Arabidopsis thaliana: one gene and its partners. The protein of the gene in region 1 interacts with the protein of each later gene in a pairwise test. Each region holds a gene or a part of one and is shown on either strand. Other genes may lie near its edges. The genes, in order: AT2G21530, BMY2, MYB86 and AT4G17810.

Region 1 (3,800 bases):
ATTTAAAAGTCTTGTCTTTGATTATATAGAATTCAATATGGACTATTCTATTGTTTATGTAGGTACTCGGATACAAGTATCTAAGCAAATTGCTTGAAGTCATTGATGTCAAGTATGTGAACCTTGACCCACCCTTATTTGATCTGTTCTATCGAAAGCTGCACGTTTTTTTGTTTTTGCTTATGTTCAAAATGGTCTGCACTTTTTTATAGCGAGTTGCCTGAGTTCTTGGGAGGTGCATGTACTTGCGCAGATCAAGGCGGTTGCATGCTTTCTGACAAGGGACCTTGGAAAAACCCGGAAATTGTGAAGGTCATTTACTTAGACTAATCTCTTTTTGGATTCTATTTGTATCATCCAAGTTGGAATCTGAGACATTTGGTTTTCTTCTCATTATTTCAGATGGTGCTTCATGGAGGAGCACATCGAGCGAGGCAGGTGGTGAAAGTGTTGAACAGCGAAGGGAAAGTCATTGCTTATGCAAAACCTTCATATACATGGGTACGTAGTTATTAAATCCTATAACTAGTCAATCTTTAACTTGTGGCTGACCATATTGTGCCTAAACTCTGCTCTGTCATAAACATAGATAAAGGGAAGTGACACATCCACTGCAGAGTCAGGATCTGACGCTGAAGATATCGGTTCTCCGAAGGCTATAAAGAGTTTCTCTCATCTCCGCTTGACACCTGTTCGTGAGGAGGTAACTTTTTTCTCTTTCTTTCTATCTTCTAGTTGGGGAAGTAGTAGATGTTTATCCTGAGGCTTTGCAGGCAAAGATAGCTGGTGAAACAAGCTTGGCTGGTAGTTTTCCGGGTTATGACGAGTATGTACCTATGGTGGACAAAGCCGTTGACGCCACCTGGAAGGTGAAACCCGCCATCCAGAGAGTTGCCTCAAGAGGTTAGTTAGTTAGCTGCTATATGCTTTACGTACCAGTAGGCTCCGGTTTAGAACCAAATACTGAAGGAAAAGAATTTAACCTAATCCTTGTTTACATAGGATTTATTTTCTTATTAGGATTGTTTTGGAGTTGGTTATAAAAACAGAGTTTTTTTGGTCTTTCTTTGTTTGGTGATCTTAACTCTTATCTGTTTCCTTCAGGAGCTTTAATGTCTCCCACCGTTCCAAAAGATCATGAAGGCATCAAGGCTCGAGTCCTAGTAATGTTCATGGCATTCTTGATGGCGGTTTTCACATTCTTCCGCACTGTAACAAAGAAACTTCCAGCGACTACTACTTCTTCCCCAGCAGAAACCCAAGGAAACGCAATAGAACTTGGTTCTAACGGTGAAGGAGTTAAAGAGGAGTGTCGTCCTCCTTCTCCTGTACCAGACCTCACGGAAACTGATCTACTAAACTGTGTGACGAAGAAACTGACAGAGCTGGAAGGTAAAATCGGAACGCTCCAATCAAAGCCAAATGAGATGCCATACGAGAAAGAAGAACTGTTAAACGCAGCCGTCTGCAGAGTAGACGCACTTGAAGCAGAGCTCATAGCTACTAAAAAGGCCCTTTACGAAGCTTTGATGAGACAGGAAGAGTTACTTGCTTACATTGATCGTCAAGAAGAAGCTCAGTTCCAGAAGATGAAGAAGAAGAAGAAGAAACATCTCTTTTGCTTCTGAAGCAAAGCCAAGAAAAACCAGCACCAGGCATCAAAATCTCCCTCTTTCGTAATTCGCTGTTCTTAAGTATAAACAACAAAACAAAACAAAAACTCTTATATCTGATTTGATGTTAAAGCTAATACAGAGAGCTCTGTTTCCTTCTGTGATTATGAGCCACTTTATATTATATGTTTTATTTTTATAATCATAAAAAAATCTGTAACTGTAAACTTGTTAATGCAAAACGAAAAAAGAGTATCGAAATTATTAATCAGGATTCTGTTTTTTTTTAGGATTTTGTTTTTATCCAGATACAAGATATTGTAGCCACATATCCCATATAGTGATTATCTCTTAACGTATCTCAAAAGTTTTTGCATTTTTCTTTACTTCATATTTTGTTTTTGTAAGATCAATCAGTTTTTATGAAGAGAAAATGGAGATAACAATATCCCAATTGTGCTCTCGAGTTAAGTTTTCATCATCATCATCATCATCATCACTTTTCTGTTTCTATGGAAACAGTAATAGAAACAACCTAAATGGAGCTGTTTCAGTAAACTGCTTGAGAGAGAATGAGCAGATCAGTAATATTAGCTTCATTGCGAAGAAACCAAGAAGTCATGCACCGGTGGTGAGAACAACACGCGCCTCCTTGGATGAGAATCAATCCCCAACTTCCGGAGGAGAACGGTGGCTTCTCAAACCAGTTGGTCAGAGGCTATTTTTTTGTTTCTCTAGGTTTAATATCAATGAGCTTCTTTAATCTTTTTGAGTCTTGAAAGTCTTTTTGCCTGAAAACTTATAGGCGATGGAGACACAAGACACATTGGTTACAAAGTGGCAATGCCTGCTCCTTTTGAGATCTCCTCTGTAAGAAACTATACATTCCACTAGATTGATTGATTTTGATGAGTTTTTAGTTTTTGCTAAGATCACAAAAATGGGTATTGAGCAGGGCCAAGTTACCATCGGACGGCTACCGGAAAAGGCTGACGTCGTGATTCCTGTTGCCACCGGTATTTCTCTGTTCTTGTGGTTTTCGGTTTTCTTGAATTTGTAATCAAAGTGAATTTGGTTTTAATATGAATCAATTTGATATAGTTTTGGTTTCGGGTTTAGGTTCGGATTCGGTACTAGATTTTCGATTGTAGATGGTTTATTGCTTTAGTTTGGATCAGAATCCAACACTCCTAGTCTTTTAACCTCAGTGTCAGGAGTCCATGCGACAATCAATACGAATGAAAAGAACCTTCTTGTGACGGATATGAACAGCACCAACGGTACATTCATCGAAGACAAACGTCTAATTCCTGGTGTTGCTGCTCCTGCCTTTCCCGGAACACGAATCACCTTTGGTACACCAATCTTTTCGCATGATTTTCCATCTCTCTCTCTGTGAATGTGATGGACCGATCAATGAGGTTAAACTCTTTGTGTGACTTGCAGGAGATACAAATCTAGCAATTTTCCGTGTTTTCAAGCTCCAAGATAGTGAAGAATCCATAGAGAAACCAACTACAGAGTAACACAAAACCCGAGAATTGCTTATCTTTGCTTGCAATTAACCGGTTTTTGTTGAAATTCTAAGTTGTTTTACAACATTGTTGATTTATATATATATGAACAATAGCTTTTTATATAATATTATAACATATATATTTTTGTTTTTGGTACGTTACAAATTAGGTGTGAAAGAATTGATAAGTGGTAAACATAAGCTTTCAGATATTTCCAGAGGGACAAACAACAAAACATTTACAGAAAGAAAATTTCCCACATTTTTATCTGTAAAAACTCTTCACGAATAATATTTATGTTTATATATATAATAAATATGGATTTATATATATTTTTCCAGGTTTCTTCAAAGTCTTGAGGCATTATCAAGTCTTTCAGAATCCAAAGAACTGAAAACAAAAACAAAAAAAACATATAAATACGTAAACAAAATCAAGTACGAATAAATCTTGAAAAAGAGTGTTTTAAAATGTGTTAGTTTGTTGTTACCTTCTTCTTCTTTTTCTTCTTGTCGATATAAGCCATTATCACATGCTGCGTTGCCATGGTTTCCTCCAGCGTCTGAATTTTCAACAAAATAAAATTGATTTATAACAGGATTATGAAAATGGTCTAAATTTTAGATCAAAAGAATTAAAATAGCTTTTAACTTTTATAAATGAACAAAAT
Region 2 (5,519 bases), on another chromosome or scaffold:
CTGTAATGAGAAGTAGAAGATGAAGCAAGACAAGAAGAGTGAAGACCACAAAAAAGACTCTTTGATCTTCTTCTCCTTCCACCACCACTAGAAGACGACGGAGGAGGTTGAGCCACGTCAGAAGCTTCTCTCGCCATCGCCGACGAGCCTAGACATGATTTGCTCCGGCCAGATCCCATCTTCTTCTCAAAAGCAAACAACTTTCTGCTAAAATTACATCATTGACACAAGACCCACAAGTCTTTTCCCCATCTTCTTCAAATCCACCAATCGAAGAAACCTCCAAGTCAAAATCTAAAGATCGAAACTTTTTCCTCAGATCTTTACATTGAAACCCGAATTCGTCATTGACAATGCAGAATCAAAAGCCCTAATTATTGAATCCCCAGATCTGAAACTCGATCGAGATTGCAAGAATACCTCGAAATCTGAACTTTTTTTATTGCGAGAAATTAATGTAGGAACTAAGCTATGTGTGTTGTCTTTGAATCAAAGAGAAATGCTTTGAAGAAAAGGAAAGATTTTTAGGTGATCGGAGTAATCGAAGAAGGAGACAAAGCACCTATCTGCGATAGAGAGAGAGACTTTTACGGGAAGAGTGTGTCTTGATGTTCGAACGAGAGGGAACAAAAAACCAAACTCACCATTTCTTTATTTTTCTTTCTTTTCTTTTTCAAACTATTATAACATTCTTTTGTTTTCGTTCGATTTTTTAATCTTTTTTGCAATCATAATTGGACTTCATTGAGGACTATAATTGAGAAAAAAGCTTTGAAATGGTCATTGAACAGTGATCACTTAGATGAAAAATAGTTGTAACCAAACCAAACTAGAATATTCAAACTATACTCAAAACTGAAATTTTGTTGACAAAGCCTTTTGGTTTTATAAATTGCGAAGCAGAAATACAAAATCGAACCAAAATCGAACCAAAATCGAATCTATATTCTCAAAAATTAAAATATAATTGAACTACACTAACTTCAAAGAAAGAAAGAAAAAAGATATATTAAAAATAGAAAAAAAAAATGAGTTGAAAAAAGTAAATCACAATAAACTAAAATATACAAATCATTTTTTTTTATGAAGTGATTGTTTTCAGTATTTTACAATTTAGATATAGTGGCATTCTAGCTTCAGAAGATTTTTGTTGGACCGGCCCTGTAAAGTCGATTTAAAGACCAAACAAAAACTAATTTTAACATGATAAAATCGAATCAAATAAACGGAAATTCATTAACATTTTATTTATAATTATAATGTTAATTTTACTAAAACCTACCTAAAATAAAAACCTGAGTCAAAATATGTAAACTAATTTTAACATGATTTTGGTTTGATTTACTAAACCAAAATCAAATCAAAAGACAAATTATGTATTTATGTTATTCAGTTTTTCTTTTCTAAACTAATAAAACCATGAAAAAAAGGATTGGAAACAAAACCGTAAAACCCATCGTGTCATTCCTAACAAACCCATCAGTAATTCAGTATCACTTTGTCAAAACTGGTCACATTGGCTATTGTTGAACAAAAAAAAAAGAGAGGTTTTTGACCAAAAAAAAAAAAAAAAAAGGAGGGGTTAATATTGACGATTTTGATAATGAGAGACTTTTAACGTAATTTATAATAATTACCGACGTTGATTTGTAAATCCATAAAGTTACAAAAAAATCTCAAATGTGGGAACAGCACAGAAGCGAGCAACTTCACCGCACAAAAATGCATACTCTCAACAACACCATCACCACCACCACCGGTTCGCAAGATCCGAATCTCGACCCAATTCCAGACCCGGATCAATTTCCCAACCGGAACCGCAACCAACCACAATCTCGCCGCCCTCGCGGATTCGCCGCTGCAGCAGCAGCAGCGTCGATAGCTCCAACGGAAAACGATGTAAACAACGGAAACATCGCCGGAATCGGCGGTGGAGAAGGAAGCAGCGGCGGCGGAGGAGGTGGAGGAGGGAAAGGGAAGAGAGAGAGGGAGAAGGAAAAAGAGAGAACGAAGCTTAGAGAAAGACATAGACGAGCAATCACTAGTAGAATGCTCGCCGGATTAAGACAGTACGGTAATTTTCCGTTACCGGCGCGTGCTGATATGAATGACGTAATCGCTGCTTTGGCTCGTGAAGCTGGTTGGAGTGTTGAAGCCGATGGTACTACTTATCGGCAATCACAGCAACCAAATCATGTGGTTCAAACTTCGAAACTCTCTCTCTCAAAATTCAAACTTTCATATTAAGCTATTTAAGTTAGGGTTTAGTGGAAAGATGATAAATTTGATCCCAAATATGTGTGAAGCTCTTAAAGTTATAAGCTTTGTTCTGTTATTAATGTAACATAGATTGTTTAATATTATTGGATTAGGTACAGTTTCCGACGAGATCTATTGAGAGTCCACTTTCTTCTAGTACATTGAAGAACTGTGCTAAGGCTGCAATTGAATCTCAGCAGCATTCAGTTCTTAGGAACGATGAGAAACTTGCTCCTGTGTCTCTTGATTCTATTGGTATTGCCGAGAGTGATCATCCCGGGAATGGAAGGTATACTAGTGTTAGTCCTATCACCTCCGTTGGATGCTTGGAAGCCAATCAGGTGAATGATAAATTCATTTCCTTATTAGGAGAATTGACTTTAAGCTGGACGTTGTTTCATCTAACCACTTTGTTTTTCTTTCAGCTTATACAAGATGTTCATTCCGCAGAGCAATGTAATGACTTCACAGAGAGCTTTTATGTCCCTGTGTACGCCATGCTTCCAGTGAGCTTCTGATGAGAGAACTTTGTGTTTTAAGTGTATATATATGGATGTTGCCCAATAAAAAAGAGTGTACATATATTTCTTACCAGTTTTGCCGCGATCCTTAGTTTTCCTGTGCTAAAGTTCTGTACCTTGTCTTTCAGGTTGGCATTATAGACAACTTTGGCCAGTTGGTTGATCCTGAAGGTGTAAGACAAGAATTAAGTTACATGAAGTCATTAAATGTCGATGGAGTAGTAATAGATTGTTGGTGGGGAATAGTTGAAGGATGGAACCCTCAGAAATATGTATGGTCTGGCTATAGGGAGCTCTTTAACCTTATCAGAGACTTCAAACTTAAGCTACAGGTGTGAATATTTTTACTTGTAGAGCTTTGTTAAATACATCCTATGTGACCAAACTGTGACTTTCCCTATAAAGGACCGTCTTTTTCATAATATCTTAGCAATCAGTATATGGTTTGTTTGAAGGTGGTGATGGCATTTCATGAGTATGGAGGGAATGCATCTGGGAATGTGATGATTTCGTTGCCACAGTGGGTGTTGAAGATTGGGAAAGACAATCCAGACATTTTTTTCACTGATCGTGAAGGAAGAAGAAGTTTCGAGTGTTTGAATTGGAGCATTGACAAGGAACGGGTATTGCATGGACGAACTGGTATAGAGGTACTCAAAGAACACTCATTGCTCAGAAATTGTTCAGTATTTTGGTATATTATGTCTCATTTCCTCCTCTTTTGTACTGTCTAGATTCTTATTTCTTCCTTTTCAACACTTGATTATCCAGGTCTATTTTGATTTTATGAGAAGCTTCCGGTCAGAGTTTGATGACTTGTTTGTGGAAGGACTAATTACTGCGGTTGAGATTGGTCTTGGAGCTTCTGGTGAACTAAAGTACCCATCTTTCCCAGAAAGGATGGGTTGGATTTATCCCGGTATCGGTGAGTTTCAGGTATTTTTCAGATTGCTGAACTTTACTTCTACGTTCTAACTTATGACTAGTGAAGTTAACATATCAATTTACTATTTTTCCTATTGCAGTGTTATGACAAATATTCGCAATTGAGTCTGCAAAAGGAAGCAAAGTCACGAGGATTCACTTTCTGGGGTAAAGGACCAGAGAATGCTGGTCAATACAGTTCTCATCCACATGAAACTGTGTTCTTCCAAGAAAGAGGTGAATATGACAGCTATTATGGCCGCTTCTTCTTAAATTGGTACTCACAATTGCTAATTGGTCATGCTGAGAATGTTCTGTCTCTTGCAAATCTCGCATTTGAGGAGACGAAGATTATTGTCAAGGTATAATCCTTTTGGCACTTATCCTTCAAACCCAGTGATGCCTATAACAATGAGACTCATACACCAAAAACAACAATGCAGATACCGGCAATATACTGGTCATACAAGACAGCTAGTCATGCTGCTGAATTAACTGCAGGATACTACAACCCTTCAAACCGTGATGGGTACTCTCTTGTTTTCGAAACTCTGAAGAAATATTCCGTGACTGTGAAGTTTGTGTGCCCTGGGCCACAAATGTCTCCCAATGCGCATGAAGAAGCATTAGCTGATCCAGAAGGTTTAAGTTGGCAGGTAATGACACTTTTTATTGATGACTATAGCTTTTTTTACTTCTCAGCAAATGTAATCTTAACCCTAAAGTTTTGGTTATTTGTGGCAGGTGATCAACGCAGCTTGGGATAAGGGACTTCAAATCGGTGGAGAGAATGCGATTACTTGTTTCGACAGAGATGGTTGTATGAGATTAATCGATATAGCTAAACCAAGAAACCATCCAGATGGCTATCACTTCTCCTTCTTCACATATCGTCAACCTTCTCCTCTGGTTCAAGGATCTACTTGCTTTCCAGATTTGGACTACTTCATTAAACGCATGCATGGTAAGATTTACCCGCACGCTTGATTGTGCCTTCCCTTTAGATTCGTTGTCAAAATCTTTGTTCTTACAACTATATTTGTTTCTTTGCAGGCGACATAAGAGATAAACAGTTTTAGGATTTGCATGGTCTTAGGATTCTTTTAGTAAGTGTCTTTTGTTTAAAACTTCAAAATCTGTTTTGTTTTGTTTATTCTCTCCTCAAGGCCTATATTTAAGACGATTGATCTTGTAATCTTTAAACACCTTAACACTTCACTAGTTGAAGATGAACTAACTAATTAAATTCTTAAATGCATTCTAATCCGACTCGCGTAAAGTAGACACTTGTTTAGTTTTATTTTGAAAAATACAAGAAGGTATTGATGTCTAATGAATACAACCGAAAAGTGTTGCCTAACTCTTATACCTTTTTGTCTAAATTATTCTTAGAATAACCTTTTTGACTATATATGCCCGAATCCGATTACATTAATGGTATTAATAATTTTTGTTCAAAGTTACATTTTTCTTTTGTATCATTCAAATAATATTCTGATAAAATCCTGATTTTTCATGATTGTATTTGACATTTTAGATCCAACCAAATCTTTGAAGAACAAATAAAGAGGGGAAAAAAAGACCAACATGTCCTTTTGCATTCAGTGTTAATTCATGGACAATATAATGTTGGTCCGTACGAAAATTTGATTTTGTATCTAAAGAAGCATAAGAAATAGGGTTAGTTAACCACAACGAACAAAGCCTCTATTATACATATCTAAATGTGGGATAATGAGGCAAAATGTCCAATATGATTAATGAAAAAGATGGAAAAAAAGTCTTAGGTGGTGTGTGATTTAAACTGTGTTTTAA
Region 3 (4,087 bases), on another chromosome or scaffold:
CTCCAACTTGAAAATTTTAAATGCTCAATCATTTGAAAGGCGGCGAATTCTTTTGTATTTCCCATTACAAACTATACAAAAACATCACCGTGACTATATAATTTTCTATGCACATAAAAACATTTAACTTATGCCAATATATACTTTTTAGTTTTTACAACCAATTTTAGTCCACTTTCGACTACGCAAAGATGATTTTATAAAACTTGAAAATGACAGAATTAAGAGGTTGGCATCGGCTAATTGATTGCATGTTATAAAAATATAACTGGATGACTTTCTCATTACAGTTTTTTTTATCGACGGCTAATTCGATTTTATCCACTGCATTTAGTTTCTTATAAGTTCTTTACTGCATATATATATACGTAATATATGTATATTATAATTTTTCTTTCTTCCTCTACTCGTCCTAATAATTTTGATGAAATGGTTTTGTATTTAAAAAATATACTAATTATATTTTCAGGATACAACGACATTTGGGTAGTGTAAATGCAAAATACCAAAACAAATATATACTATATGTTATACAAAAATTGTTTAAACATGTAAAAAATGATATGCATAAGACAAAATCCCATTTTAATTGAAAATATAATATATCATTCGTGACGCAGCTGACGCTATTATTAAAATTGAGGTGATGATCTATGAGATTTTTTCCTCTTACAACAAATATGTCAAAGGAGACAAGCCAGTTGTATATACAAGGGATTGAGTGTTTTTTCCGTTGTAATGATATTCTTCAATTATGCTATTGTTTGTATGATTTCTTAAGACTCGACTTAAGCTAGTAGCTTTATATAAATAAAATAGCTTTGTTGTAAACTAATCATCATGAAATTTCAAATAACAAAAAAAAACTAATCATCATGATTGTATTTTTAAAAAGGAAACTCTCTTTCCTATAATACGATAATAATGAGAACGCATCTCCTATCATAATATACGTTTCTAAACACTTATTGTTGTTCTCGTGTAGAAGCATGCTCGAAATTAATCAAAATTATCTTTGTTTTTGTTTTGTTTCACGTTAGACTAGCCTCATCGATGTAAGATTAATGAAAGATTACCCGTTACAAGTCGGTAACTAGTAACATTAGTGTGTATATAAATAAGAATATTAGTGGTTACGCGACCAAATTATTGCATAGTGGAAACATTTAAGGCTATTTTTCCACCATTACTTTGCGTACTTGAATTGAAGAACTCTTTACATTCTCAGCACATCAAGGTGTCTCCTTTGAGATCAAAAAAGTAGGAAAAATAAAACGAAAAAGTACTATAAATATTAATTTCGTTTACGAACAAAAAAGTATTAAAATTCCGTAGACATTTTTGGGGGGACAATAATTTTAGACTCGTACAATGCTTTCATGGAAATGAGTTTGTTGTTGACCGATGGCTTCCCTTTATTTTTCTTTCCACTTTTTTATTACTAATTAGGAAACTAGTAATATTTATACTCGATGTATAATTCACTAATCATATACTTTCCAAAACGTAGCAAATAATTCGACTAGAATATATTGTCCGTGAATTAAGTTTCCTCTTTTCTTTTTTTATGTTAACCATCATGTTTCTGTTATTTGTTGATTTTAATAACCATACTATTTTATACTTTTTTAAAAATAATTGAAAATAAATTCAGATTACAAGTCTACGATAATGATTCTTCTTCTTTTTCATTGTAGATAAATTTCTTAAAAGTTGACTACTTTTCTGTCAGTATATGTCACATTTTTCTATCTATCGTTCGAGAAAAAAAAAAGAAAAAAAAAAGTTTACAAGTGTTACCTCTAAAGTCTTAACCACCATTTCTTTCTATTTTGTAAAGGAATCAAATAGTTATTTACTATGTTTGAGTTCATCTCTTGAGTTTTCTGAATAAGGTGGTCCCATAAAAGGTATCAATTAATTCACCCAACGATTATAAAACAAAAGTGTTTACACCAGAATATCGCCAATCATAGTTTCTCTCATTTTATAATAATTTTCTCCATCTTCTTCCTTCCTCTTCAAGCTTATAGAACCTCCAAGAACCATAAAACTCTCTCTGCAACAATCTATACTTTCTTCATTACTTTTATAAAAAATGGGAAGACATTCTTGTTGTTTTAAGCAGAAGCTAAGAAAAGGCCTTTGGTCTCCTGAAGAAGATGAGAAACTTCTCAATTACATCACTAGACATGGTCATGGCTGTTGGAGTTCTGTCCCTAAACTCGCAGGTTTGGTCTCTATGTGCTCTTATATTATATATAGCTTAAAGAGGTTTATATAGCATCGTTTATAATGTTTTTATATGCGTTGGTGGATATATATGATCAAATAGGTTTGCAAAGATGTGGAAAGAGTTGTAGACTTAGGTGGATAAATTATTTGAGACCAGATTTAAAGAGAGGAGCTTTCTCTCAAGACGAAGAAAGCTTGATCATTGAGCTCCATGCTGCATTAGGCAACAGGTTCATTAATTTGCAACACATTTATATAGTTTTGAATTTATAATGTATATTGTGTATATATATATATATGTTAAAAAAAAAATCTTTGGTTCATATTGAATATGTAGATGGTCTCAAATCGCAACGCGGTTACCGGGAAGAACAGACAACGAGATCAAAAACTTTTGGAACTCATGTCTTAAGAAGAAGCTGAGAAGAAAAGGCATTGACCCAACAACACATAAACCCTTAATAACAAACGAGCTTCAATCTCTTAACGTCATAGATCAGAAACTGACGTCATCAGAAGTAGTAAAGTCAACGGGTTCGATAAACAACCTACATGATCAGTCAATGGTCGTCTCATCGCAACAAGGTCCATGGTGGTTCCCGGCGAATACAACTACGACTAATCAAAACTCTGCGTTTTGCTTTAGTTCAAGTAATACTACAACGGTTTCAGACCAGATCGTATCTTTAATCTCTTCAATGTCTACGTCATCATCTCCGACACCAATGACTTCAAACTTCAGTCCTGCTCCAAACAACTGGGAACAACTCAACTACTGCAACACAGTACCAAGTCAGAGCAACAGTATCTACAGTGCCTTCTTTGGTAATCAATACACAGAAGCTAGCCAAACCATGAACAATAATAATCCACTAGTAGATCAACATCATCATCATCAAGACATGAAGTCATGGGCATCAGAGATTCTTCATTACACAGAACACAACCAAAGCTCAGAAACTGTTATAGAAGCAGAAGTGAAGCCAGACATTGCCAACTACTACTGGAGATCAGCATCATCATCGTCGTCACCAAACCAAGAAGCTGCAACATTACTACACGATGCTAACGTGGAAGTGTACGGTAAAAATCTACAAAAGCTTAATAACATGGTGTTTGATCAGAGCCTTTAGATTATTAACATGTGTTATAGAGAGTTTCATTTTCTATTCATATTCATAGACCTGAGTTTATTGATTGATCCATACATTTGTTATGCTTGTGTGTAAAGTATGTATATGGTTTTTGATTTATGTAAATTTTCTGCTCGAGTGAATTTTTTTGGTGCTAAGATGTAGTTCTTTATTCCATTTCCTTACTTATGACTTTGACCTGAATTGAGTTTCATACATTTATATTTTTACTTACATCTATATTTAGTTTTACTTAGGAAAAGTTATATCACTGATCATAATATTAAAAACAAGAAGATAAAGTAAAGTAAAACATGTCTCGGTCGTGGTGGATGGTCTTTTTGTTTTAAGGAGAGGTTAATAGATCTTAAGTTGGAGTGGAGACTTCTTCGGAAAAGTGATTCCGGACAAAGAGAGATGCATGCGTGAACAATTAACCGAAAGACCCATAATCTTTTTTGTATTAAAAACAAATGCAGTGGGTCTCAAATATAATATTCCATGATACTATTTTTTTTTCTTTTGAATTACAAGTATACAGGCCGTGTTAGTATATCAAAAGGATATGAATATTTTAAAAATTAGAAATTATATAAAAGAAATTATATTCACTAGTTTAGATTATGAATTTTGTTCAAACCATGAAATTTATAGATCTTAAAAAACTATTAAGTTATAAAGTTTATATTAAATATGCATGGAAGATCATGTTTTTATGA
Region 4 (3,730 bases), on another chromosome or scaffold:
ACAAAGCACGTATTAATTAGTGAATAAACAATAGCCAATAGCTTGGAGACATGAAATACAATAATGAACCGAATCACACAAGACTTAGTCTATATTATTTTCTGAAACATGAAATCATCATGTTAGTTTTACAGTCAAGAAAACAATGCGTCTATAAATTTATTTCAAATCAAAATCTTATATAGTAAATGTTGACAAAAGAAAATCTTATATTACATATGATCAGGATTTTTTCTTTTCATCAAGTATCTGTTAAATAGATAAATATAGAGAAAGATGTGATGGGCGGCCAAAGGTCGTCGTCCGGGAGAAGCGGTCGTTTGATAGCTGCAAAAGGATTCTCTTTGCTCCCAAAAAGCTTCGCTGGCAAAACGTCATTGTTTGCTTCTCCCTTAATCTATCTTTCCTTTATTCTCAACTTCAATACAATAATATAGTTATATACATACAAACGTTTTGACCCAATGAGATATACAAGTACCAACATTGGTATATATGTTTAACTCGGAGATGCATATTATCGGGTTAAGCTTTTTTCAACATCGTTCGTCTAATGTTTGTGATGGATAAACTCGAAAAATTATATATGCTTATAATTAACTTATGATATTAAAATGACTGGAATTATTGAAACTTTTAACCCAATTTTAATTAGCACTTAAATTTGTACACTCATTGTCAATTAATTTTGGATTAAAATCATATAGTGTTCCTATAAACAAACATATTTTATCACTGATCATGATGAAGTTTTTTTCGCATTTTAAACAAAAATAAAATAAAAAGAGCGTTAAAAGGCCTAAATTACGTACTTGTCCAACGGCCCATTGAAAGCAAACGCAAGGATCCATAATGACCTTTATTTGGGCTGAGATTTATCATTGTACTGTAATTTGACTATTTTCCAAGGAAAATTAAGTCCCTTTTTATGTTTTTATTTATTTGAAAAACATGACAAAACAAATGCAATCCACATGGTCCAACGAAAGAGCGATCTAGTTGAAATCTAACTAAGTTCCCAACGAAACCACTGTTAATGTAACTTTACATGGCAAATATCTTTCGGATATCAAGGCCCATCACTTTCAGCTCTTCTGTTTTTCATTTTTTTCCCAAAATTTGTATTGTTTAATATTCCTAGATTTCAAATTGTAATAAAATTTTCATTTGGCATAAGAAAAAAAAATAATATCTTTTTCTACATAGAAAATAATATATATAATATGAGTTCATACACCATACATGTGTGTCTATATACATATATATAGTTTTGTAATGTATGTATATCTCGAATTGTAGCCATATGTAGGATGATTATCTAAAATATATGGTCATAATGTCACAGTGTAAAGCTACTCTAGTCATTTGTCAGATTCTAACAAGAGAATCTTAGTAATGATCACGCAAAGCTAAGATCTTTGCTTCACCATTTAAAGCAAACAAACTTTGTCTTAACCTTACATAGGACATCAAAGTCACAACCAACTTTTTCCTCTGTAAATCTTCACCTATTTATATAAAATGCACACTATTTTTTTATTTATAATTGGGCTTCCTATATTAATTAAATGCATAGCAATCTATGATTTAATGTCTTTTTGTAACAAAGTACCAACGAAGATAGAAGAACACACCTAAAAGTGTAGAGTTCTATAAAGACGTAAAGTTTATGTAAATTTCTGAAAGTAGCTAAATATATGTAAGTAATTAATAGAAAATGAGATTTCATTTTTACTTTTCTAACATATATAAGTTACTAAAATATGTTTGCACTGGATTTAATAGAAAGAAAGTATATTATATTTGCAAATTTTGAATTATACATGTGATAATCAAAATGTGTGTGCTCTTACACTCAGTAAAATTTATTATGGTAAAATTTCTTTCATTTACTGAAAATGATATTTTGAAGATAAGTGACCTATCTATGTATATATTTCGGGTCCATCTTTATATTTATTATTGAATTTACATCATTATCCACCAACCCCATCTTCTTCTTATTCTTCATCTTCTACTGAGATTTCTCTTTTTTTTTCAAAAAAAACTCATCCTTGAATGAACGGTGGTGCATGGATGTGGAACCCTAACAAAATTGAAGAATTGGAGGATGATGATGAATCTTGGGAAGTCAAAGCCTTTGAGCAAGACACTAAAGGCAACATCTCTGGTACCACTTGGCCTCCAAGATCTTACACTTGCAATTTCTGCCGCCGTGAGTTCCGTTCTGCTCAAGCCTTAGGCGGTCACATGAATGTCCACCGCCGTGACCGCGCCTCATCTAGGGCTCATCAAGGTTCCACCGTTGCGGCTGCGGCTAGAAGCGGCCACGGGGGGATGTTACTCAATTCTTGTGCTCCGCCGTTGCCTACAACGACACTTATAATACAATCCACGGCGAGTAACATTGAAGGTTTGTCCCATTTCTACCAACTGCAAAACCCTAGTGGCATTTTTGGTAATTCTGGTGACATGGTGAATCTTTATGGTACGACTTCGTTTCCTCCGAGCAACCTTCCGTTTTCAATGTTGAATTCTCCAGTAGAAGTTCCTCCTCGGCTTATTGAATATTCGACAGGAGATGATGAGAGCATTGGCTCGATGAAAGAAGCGACAGGAACATCAGTGGATGAGCTTGATCTTGAACTTCGGCTAGGGCACCATCCACCGTGACATTTCATTTTCATGACCCACTCGAGGCTTTCACATTAATATCTATTCATACACAGGTTCTTTAAATCTTAATTTACATGTTGTTGTTAAATTCTGAATTCAATTTGGCTTGAATTGTGTATCACAATTAAATTCATTCGATTTCATGCTTTGGTTCCTTGATTTCAGAGCGTAAGTTTACAAGTATATGTTTACTTAATTTGATTGGTTAGATCGAAATATATACAATGAACCCTGCATTATATGATTTGTATATACTTATATTAAATTTCATCTCAGAAATCCCATAGAACCCATATATGTATTGATTACTATTGCTTTTTATATATTCTGTCTTTATCATTACTTGGTTTAGTAATGATTTTCTTGAAAAGTAACAAGGCTCTTTGAATTCAAATTTCCGTTTGATGGAGAAAATTTACAATTAACGAACATTATCAGTAGTTTGTTTCAAATGCTCAAAACTTTCAAATTATTAAAAGCGTCTACACATTTAAAAAAAAAAAAAAAAACCATTCCTCAACAGAAGATAAGAAGCCAATATTTTTTTACATATTTCGTAGAAGGCAAATTTGTTCTTACTATTTCCATATGCTTTAGGGTTTTGGAGTATTGGAATGATGAAGAGATATGCGTTGAACTGAGTTTTAATTTATTCCATTCGTTTTATACTTCTATTACTCCATGTCATGTTAAGTAGTTTGTACATGCATTATTTTGATTTAGTTTCTGATTAAATATTTAACTATATATCTTTTTTGAACGATTTATGGATATCTTGTCATAATTAGTTTTCTAATGCTCAGGCGACTCAGAAGTATCATTCGTGACAGAGAATCTGGTTTTTCTTTTTCTAACTAAAGTTCTCTAATATATCTGATATTTAATGCCTTTTTTATCACGATGTAGGGGAGAAACTTGAATTAATCCTGGTCTTATCCCCGACTTTAGCTAAGAGATCAATTCAAAAACTTGATTGAATAAGTTCTTGTAAGTTTATGCATTTCACAAATAATATGTGATGTACGTTGCTTCTACAATAAGGGTGTAACTATAT

What was found.
Region 2: the proteins of AT2G21530 (region 1) and BMY2 interact in a two-hybrid assay, tested with the Arabidopsis thaliana proteins (one large-scale study listed by BioGRID).
Region 3: the proteins of AT2G21530 (region 1) and MYB86 interact in a two-hybrid assay, tested with the Arabidopsis thaliana proteins (one large-scale study listed by BioGRID).
Region 4: the proteins of AT2G21530 (region 1) and AT4G17810 interact in a two-hybrid assay, tested with the Arabidopsis thaliana proteins (one large-scale study listed by BioGRID).

What each region holds. Positions count from the first base shown.
Region 1 is NC_003071.7:9,217,326-9,221,125, forward strand, and holds AT2G21530 (SMAD/FHA domain-containing protein), read left to right. Parts: upstream 1-1,926; 5' UTR 1,927-2,046; coding exon 2,047-2,323; intron 2,324-2,418; coding exon 2,419-2,483; intron 2,484-2,568; coding exon 2,569-2,629; intron 2,630-2,821; coding exon 2,822-2,968; intron 2,969-3,059; coding exon 3,060-3,139; 3' UTR 3,140-3,283; downstream 3,284-3,800. Other genes in the region: AT2G21520 (Sec14p-like phosphatidylinositol transfer family protein), read left to right, coding at 63-112, 213-312, 403-501, 590-703, 774-903, 1,105-1,628; SFH3 (SEC14-like 3), read right to left, coding at 3,506-3,520, 3,621-3,692.
Region 2 is NC_003076.8:18,351,914-18,357,432, forward strand, and holds BMY2 (beta-amylase 2), read left to right. Parts: upstream 1-1,611; 5' UTR 1,612-1,680; coding exon 1,681-2,199; intron 2,200-2,372; coding exon 2,373-2,600; intron 2,601-2,684; coding exon 2,685-2,765; intron 2,766-2,908; coding exon 2,909-3,112; intron 3,113-3,235; coding exon 3,236-3,430; intron 3,431-3,551; coding exon 3,552-3,716; intron 3,717-3,805; coding exon 3,806-4,066; intron 4,067-4,147; coding exon 4,148-4,360; intron 4,361-4,448; coding exon 4,449-4,668; intron 4,669-4,757; coding exon 4,758-4,783; 3' UTR 4,784-4,975; downstream 4,976-5,519. Other genes in the region: AT5G45290 (RING/U-box superfamily protein), read right to left, coding at 1-179.
Region 3 is NC_003076.8:9,331,056-9,335,142, reverse strand, and holds MYB86 (myb domain protein 86), read left to right. Parts: upstream 1-1,858; 5' UTR 1,859-2,098; coding exon 2,099-2,231; exon of another isoform or gene 2,232-2,295; coding exon of another isoform or gene 2,296-2,335; coding exon 2,336-2,465; intron 2,466-2,572; coding exon 2,573-3,368; 3' UTR 3,369-3,578; downstream 3,579-4,087. UniProt on the Arabidopsis thaliana protein: Probable transcription factor.
Region 4 is NC_003075.7:9,904,860-9,908,589, forward strand, and holds AT4G17810 (C2H2 and C2HC zinc fingers superfamily protein), read left to right. Parts: upstream 1-1,961; 5' UTR 1,962-2,058; coding exon 2,059-2,673; 3' UTR 2,674-3,168; downstream 3,169-3,730.